Danio rerio: one gene and its partner. The protein of the gene in region 1 interacts with the protein of each later gene in a pairwise test. Links are inferred from orthologs where the notes say so. Each region holds a gene or a part of one and is shown in the gene's direction. Other genes may lie near its edges.

Evidence for each region.
Region 2: the proteins of zbtb25 (region 1) and sephs1 interact in binary tests that used the Homo sapiens proteins (3 or more experiments, as listed by UniProt). The two-hybrid records come from large-scale screens. The link is inferred for Danio rerio from reciprocal best matches to the Homo sapiens genes ZBTB25 and SEPHS1.

The regions. Positions count from the first base shown.
Region 1 is NC_133195.1:30,436,612-30,440,944, reverse strand, and holds the start of zbtb25 (zinc finger and BTB domain-containing protein 25), read left to right. Parts: upstream 1-1,390; 5' UTR 1,391-1,547; coding exon 1,548-1,795; intron 1,796-3,257; coding exon 3,258-4,333. UniProt on the Homo sapiens protein: May be involved in transcriptional regulation.
Region 2 is NC_133193.1:9,553,823-9,557,652, reverse strand, and holds part of sephs1 (selenide, water dikinase 1), read left to right. Parts: intron 1-1,215; coding exon 1,216-1,319; intron 1,320-1,408; coding exon 1,409-1,516; intron 1,517-2,844; coding exon 2,845-2,999; intron 3,000-3,830. UniProt on the Homo sapiens protein: Synthesizes selenophosphate from selenide and ATP.

The DNA.
Region 1 (4,333 bases):
ATGTGAAAAATGTTTTAATCAACATAAATGTTTTTTTTGCAATTATTAATGTCGTTAAACTTGTCTCTAAGTATGGTTAATACCATTTTGAGGAAACCTTATAATGACGTGAATTTGCATATTGATTTTAAACTTATCTAAAACTGTTTGTGTGCCCCTCAGGTCTGTAAGACCCTTTACAAAACACTGCCGGCTTGCTCTTTCGTCCATGCAAGTCGTCAAAGGTTTTATACTTCACGCTTTTAGTTCAGCGAGACAATAGCCAAGGCTAAAGCAGCTATACGGAGCTCCAATTAGACAGAAATTAACAAAAAACGAGCACATAAATACAAGCCGGGCGCCTGCTTTGTATGTTTTCACTATGCGTTCGTCTGGATCAGCTAATGTACAGTACGGTCACGTGACGGATAACAAGCTAAGCCGTCAATCGCATAGGAAGAAGCGCGAGACCATAAGAGAATTTTCCTGCTGCAACAAACACGAAATTATTCCCCCTTTCTCTCGTGTAGTTGGTAAGAATGCATTTTATTGGGACCGTGTGAATGCATTGTGTCTGTGCTTTGGTTCATGCATGTTTTGTTGGCCAAGGTGCATGAAAACGTACACCGTCTCTTCGACAACACTTGATCGGTGTAGACCAGACGTGTGAAAATTATTATGGTTCTGTCGCGGACTGATCTGCTGGTAATCAGAACAAAAATATCAGAGAAACACGAGCTTAGTAGCTTCTACACGGTGTGGGGGTATTATCCATTCATTCAGTCATGACATTTTTCTATGCGACGAACAATTGCTGTTTGTAAATGTCCTTTTTGTGTAATGATTTTAAGAGCCCCTGACAGGTATTGTCAGATCCCGGTTTGCCTGCAAAGGTAAACCGCAAACATTAAACGCAATCCAGTCGTTGCATATTAAGTAAAGTGTAATCGATAGAATGAACCATTCTTCTGCACAATGCTACACACATTTAGGAGAACGTACCGCTTCAGAATACTTCTTTGCAAATCACCGGATAGCATGTATAAGTAACGCGAGAATGTAAGTACAGATGCGTTTCACTATTTAAAATGGGCAATTCTAGCCAGATGTAAACATCTGGTTCGTCTCAGAAATGGTCAAAATGTTATGGCTATTTTGATCGATAGAGGTCGCCAGTCACTAAGTCAGGCTCTGAGAGACTCAATCGGTTGATTCTAGCATATCAAGTAGGCTACTTAGGAAAATATGGATCTCCACAAAAAAAAAACAAAAACATTTTAAATATTAAAATCAATTACAATTAAAACTTGATAAATAATCTAATAATATATTTCATGAAATATTATTAATACGTTTTCTCAAGGTTGTTGTACTTGATATGAACAAAAGAGAGCAAATTTTTTAAATTTGTGATGTGAAATAAACAGACAGAAAAATTGGACTTTATAAAGTAAAAATATTGTATTTGCATTTGATTAAATATAAGATACATAATTTATATAACTAGAAACGTTAGCTGATTAAATCACATTGATTAATCAAGGTAAATGGCACTACAGTAACACAACATGAGTTGTCTGTTCAAGTTCTGCCTAGGAATCCAATTGTCTTCGGTGTTTGTATGTTCTGTGCAACAGGTTGAGATGGACGTGTCTGGCCACAGTCTGTTCCTCCTGCAGCAGCTGAACGTCCAAAGGGAGTTTGGCTTTCTGTGTGACTGCACTGTTGCCATTGGCAACGTATACTTCAAGGCTCATCGTGCAGTCCTCGCCGCCTTCTCAAACTACTTCAAAATGATCTTTATCCACCAGTCCAGGTGAACTCAAATTTATTTTGAAGTGTTCTAATGTGTAAGTTCTGGATTGAATGGTCATTGATCATACAATGGTGATTGAAAATGGAAAACATCCTACAGTTTACACAAATGTTGAGGTCACTGCTGATTCCCTGTTGAAATTATCAATGAAATAATCATTTAAGCATATTTCTTAAGTTACTTATAAATGACAGTATAAAACATGTAATTTTATTTTTTTTATATTATTTTAATATTTGAAAAAAAAACACTGATTAAAATCAGAGAACACTTTCAGATACTTCCTAGTCATTGGTATTAATATGTCACCAGGTGGTAAAGTTACTTAATTATTAGACACACCACATTTAACTGGGAAACTAACTTTTCCTTCTAACTAACCTAATAAGTCCCCCTAAAATGCTGGTTGTCCATAAAAGACAAATGCAAGAGAGTACCAACAGGCCCGTAGCCAGGCTGGTAAAAAGTGTGGTTCTTTTATTTAAAAAAAAAAAAAAACTGGACCTTTTTGCAGGTATTCACTTCATTTACTACTTATTTATATACTATCAGTAAGGACTTATTTATGTACTATATTTCCTACTTATTTATGTATATAAGTACTGCCATTTTTAGCTAGATTAGCTTGTCGGATGGTCATCATAACCACACTTTTTGATGTAGTAAAAATATTTATGTACTAAAGATTTAGAATAAAGAAATATGTAGAAAATACTTATTTTTAAAATACAAATTTATTACATATATTATTGGCGGGGGAAAATTAATCTATTAAAGTTTTAAATTAAAAACTGTAGCTGATTGTGTCATTCATAAGGCAAATAACAAACTGAGCAGCACATTCAATTTTCAACAGTAAGAATTTGGCCATTTGAATACTGAACAATTAAAACATAATAATAATATTGTAGAGCTTGCCGATTTTTCTAGCGTCTCTTGTAAAAAAGTACTTTTGAAAATTCCTGGATAACAACAATAGCCTAATTAGTATTCAAATTAACTGTATTACGGTCCGCCTTTGGTGCTTCACACTTATTTATAGGTGATTTCTTTCTTTCAAGAATAAAGTTCAATAATTTAGAATAAAAGTTCCTTGTAAAATGTTTTCTTTAATTAGCAATATAGTAGGTCAGTAGTGAAAGATGACGTCACTTATGTCAGATTCCGCTTGCTCTTAAAGCCTTTTATGGGTTATTTTCAAAATTTGTAACATTTTCAAAAAATGTATGGGACAAATTCTACACCTTTGTCAGTGGAAGGTGGATCTTTGGAACCACCCAAACCCTCCCTGGCTACAGGCCTGACCAAACAATGTGATCGCCACTGTATGCAAAATGACTGATAGAAAAAGCATTCTTTGCATGTTAATAGAACCCATCTGACCAAATGATAATTATTAACCATCATTTAAAGGAAAATAAATTGTTAACTCTATTTTAAATGACTTTTCTCTTATTCTTAGTGAGTGCATCAAGATCCAGCCCACAGATATTCAACCTGATGTCTTCAGCTATCTGCTACACATCATGTACACAGGTATGGGTCCTAAACAACCTGTAGACCAGGGCAGACTTCAGGAAGGCATCAAGTTCCTCCATGCGTACCAGCTCTGCCGTAAAGCAGGCGAGAGTGGTCCTGATGCATCCTCTGATGCCATCCGTATGTCCAATCTGTATGGCATCCAGATCTCTTCCCAGCTGGCCAACAAAGAAAACTCGGGCCTGAAGGCTGGTGGCTCACGGGACCCTGAGGACGGGCGTTCCAGCACACGGGCCGATCGCACACATGGCCGTTTAGCACTCGCTGTAGGGCTGGAGGGCATTGCATCTGAGCAACACCCTCAAAGCTTTCATGCCGCGTCTTCGGTGGCCTCGGGGGACGACTCTGACATTTCTGCACGGATCAAACAGGAACGGGTAGAAGAGGAAGAACAACAGGAAGGAGACAAAGAGTCTTCAGCTCTTTCCCCAGCCCAGGTGAGCCCCTGTCAAGCGGGTCTATTCAGAGATGGCCCTCTGGCACTTTTGTGCCCTCGATGTGGGGAACGCTGTTTGTCACCTGAAGGCTTACAAGAGCACCTTTTTACCCACGCAGCCTGCGCCCTCGAGTCTAGCACACTGATGGAAGGCCCGTCAGAGGACAAAAGCGGGGAACACGCATCCTTGGAGGAAAGGCGGCCTCTTAAGGAGCCTATAGACTCTGGTAGTCTGGAGGAGGCTCTACGGCAGAGTCAAGCCCTGGCTGATGAGCTGGCTGTTGAACTCAGGCGAGGTGGTGGGACTGGGAGGAGCGCTAGCCCATTGGCAGCCTTCACGCGAAAGAGAAAGATGGCCTGTGCTGTCTGCAACCTCCGTTTCTCTCAGAAAAGCCAGCTGCAGGAGCACATGTTTGCCCATGTGGGAAAGCCTCTGCGATATCATCGCTACAGCCGTTTCTGCGGGCAGCTGCTTCACGGCTGCGAGGGCCAGCCAGATATTACCACAGCCACGGGAGACGAGGCAGCCAAGGACACTCAGGATAACGGCAGCTCCTGCTACT
Region 2 (3,830 bases), on another chromosome or scaffold:
TCTGTTCTGTTTACACATGCTCTTACATTATTAGTGCTGTATAAGCATTTTTAAAATAAATTTGACATAGATATAAAAATAAATGCAAACTAAGCAGATTTTTATGTGTTTTATAATATGCTGTGATATATTTGAATGTGCATTGTTTTTCTTTTTATTTATATGTAGACATTGGATGAAACATTAGATCATGAAAATGTACTTAAAGTCCTGGAAAAGTCATAGAATTTTAGTTGTAAAATATGTATGAACCCTGTTTAAAGACATCAAGGAGCATTTGCTAAAAGTGTTGATTAATGTATTAATTAATGATTAATAATTTAGTAGATACTAGCATGAAGCTGCGGTAGTCCCTGTTCTATTTTTTCTTCATTACATAGCTAAATGTGTGTAAATACATACATTTATAAATTTTTTTTTAATTATCTCTTTATTTTGTTGATAAGTGTTTTGATTGTATTTGGATGTTAAACTTTAAATAATGGTTCTGTTATTTTTAATTTTAAGTTTTTAGCTTCTTTACTCTCAAATAAGAATTCTATATAAATCTACATATTTTCTTTTACACAATTTTGTGCAGAAATAGGAATAAAATAAATTAAATCAAAATATAGCCAATTTCCCAGAGATGGGTTGCAGCTGGAAGGGCATCCGCTGTGTAAAAGCGTGCTGGATAAGTTGGCGGTTCATTCCGCTGTGGTGACCCTGGATTAATAAAGGGACTAAGCTGAAAAGAAAATGAATGAGTGAATGAAAATATAGCCAAGTGAAATGACTTATTGATCAAGAAAAGTTGTTGAAATATTCACTTAATTTTGTCCATCTGGATGGTTTATTGTAGATGCTGTTGGTGGATATTATGTTAGTGACGGGTTATTTTGGCCTGCATTAGTAAGCACTCTATTGCAAATGTGAGGTGAAACTATTATTAAGACATGAAAATGTAAAAATAATTATGTGCACTGATTAATAATTTGCAATAACTACTGTAGTATTCCTTAATAAGAAGAATAGTTAAATCGGATTTCATGGTGAATTAAGTAAATAGTTCTCCAGAAATAATCCTATCTGTCACCCTGTAGGATTCCTTTAAGACTGTCACCCTTAAAAACACATTTCTGCATAAACATTTAAGCTTGAAGACTACGTAAAACTTTATACACACCTCTAAAACATCAAATTGATGTTTTTTGTCTTCATGTTTATTTAAAACAGGCATTGGTATGGACACCTGCGTGATCCCGTTGAGACATGGAGGCTTGTCGCTTGTACAGACCACAGACTACATCTACCCCATAGTGGATGATCCATATATGATGGTAAACACTGACTTCAGATTAACATAGTCTGAGAATACGTCACATTAGGTGCTCAATATGATGTTCTATGAATTCTCTCGGCTTTCTAGGGAAGAATTGCTTGTGCCAATGTGCTGAGTGACCTATACGCCATGGGAGTAACAGAATGCGATAACATGCTGATGCTGCTCGGTGTCAGCAACAAGCTCACAGAGAAGGTGAGATGCGAAACTGATATGTAAATGTACAGGCAAAGTGTGTTTGTGCATCTAATGTATGCTATTTTAAGGAGCAGCTAGCCTAAAAATGCAAACAAGTATCTGTTTTTAAAAGCTTGCTGTATCATATTTGATACACAAGTGTCTAGGGCATCTAAATGATTGATGTGACTAAAACCCGGTTGATAGTTCATACTTTTTTATAAAGTAATAGGCCCTTTAGAACAATGGTAAAACATTTGATGATGACATCTTATAGACGGAAGTTTATAATTGTCCTCCATCAAGACAGTTGATTTGACAGTTGTCCAAATGACCACCTTGCACAAGAAGGGCAAGACACAAAATATTATTGCAATAGAGGCTGGCTGTTCACAGAGCTCTGTCCAAGCACATTAATAGAGAGGCGAAGGGAAAGAAAAGATGTAGTAGATAAAACGTGTACAAGCAATCGGGATAACTGCACCCTGGAAAGAATTGTGAAACAAAACCCATTCAGAAATGTGGGGCAGGTTCACAGAGTGGACTGCATCTGGAGTCAGTGCTTCAAGAACCACTACTCACAGACGTATGCAAGACATGGGTTTCAGCTGTCACATTCCTTGTGTCTAATGAACGCATTTACAATATTCAAATTTTCTGAGACACTGAATTTAAGGTTTTGATTTGTTCATCAAAATTATCAAAATTAAAATAAATAAATGCTTGAAACAATATCAGTCTGTGTGGAATGAATATATACATTATACAAGTTTCACTTCTTGAATGGCATTAGTAAAATAAACCAACTGTTTGAAGATATTCTAATTATATGACCAGCAAATCCACTTGAAATGGTCATGAAATTAGAAAAAATGTAGGCTGATACACAATTTTATTTGTTTAAAAGATTGACGAATGGACTAATTCAGAGCAGAAAAGAGGCACCCACTAATATGCACGCCCTAAATGAATTCCATGTGACCAGGACGTGAAGAAAAGTCTTTTCTAGTGTGCATGGAAGGTTTTGGTAATTGATTAAAGTTTATTAGGGCAAACAGATTTTTACTAAATAATGAATAGCACAGATACACCATTTATAATAAGAACTACTATATAAGTATAGAAATAAGAAAAAAGTACTTTTTGATCTCATGGGGACTTTAACTTTGCTGATATCCTTCCAACCACTGTGCTTTTCCCATTTGTCAGCAGCATTTAACCATTTAAAATGTATTATTATCATTATTACATTTGAACAATTTCACTATTCTTTCACACAACCTGACACCTTTATCTCGCATATTAAGCATGTGTTTTGACTCAATATCTGATTGTGTGTGTTGTAGGAGCGTGATAAGGTCATGCCGCTGGTCATCCAGGGGTTTAAGGATGCATCAGAGGAAGCAGGGACCTCTGTAACAGGTGGTCAGACGGTTATAAATCCGTGGATTGTCCTGGGAGGTGTAGCCACAACAGTGTGCCAACCTAATGAGTTCATTATGTAAGTGTCTCATTTATAGGCATAGGACGATAACCGTTTTTAAGGTTTACGCGGTTTGGAAAACTTAAGGTTTTAATACTGCTAAAAAGTTCAGTTATACCGATTCTAAGGTAAATATAAGGTTTTTTTAATTAAGTGAAGAGAGCAGAAGTCAATTATTTATTTAGACTATTTAGCCTGGCATGTTTACTGTTCCAAAATATATAAATGTTTCTTAAAATAAAGTAAATTGTGTTTAATTTTTGTTTTGTTTTACCCAGACATTTAAAAATAACTTATTTTAAAGCAGTAATCACGATACCAAGAAACCGTGGTATTTTTATCCAAGGTTATCATACCTTCAGAAACTTATAGCGGCCCATGCCAGTACATTTATAACAAACACAAATCATATCTCTCTATAATATATGGTATATATCTCAATTTTTTCCAAATATTGATATATTTACATCCTGCCCAGTGTTTAGCTCATATCAAAGGCTGTGAAAACATACTGTGAATGTATCCATGTAAGCCATGCTATACATTATGTGCATATAAAATCACATTACATTGTGTAACCAACTAAAAAGTAAAGCTAAAATACTTACACTTACTTTCTCAATTACCCTATTATAATTGTCACTTTACAGATACTGCTATCATTAAAATACACTTTTATATTTACAAATCTGCATGTAAGATATTTGTCATATTCATTGTCCAACAGTATGTACATTGCAAAAAAAAAAAAACTGTTTCTTGCTTCGTAATTAAGGCTTTAAGCCATAGATCTCAAACTGGATTCCTGGAAGGCCGCAGCTCTGCACAGTTTTGCTCCAACCCTAATCA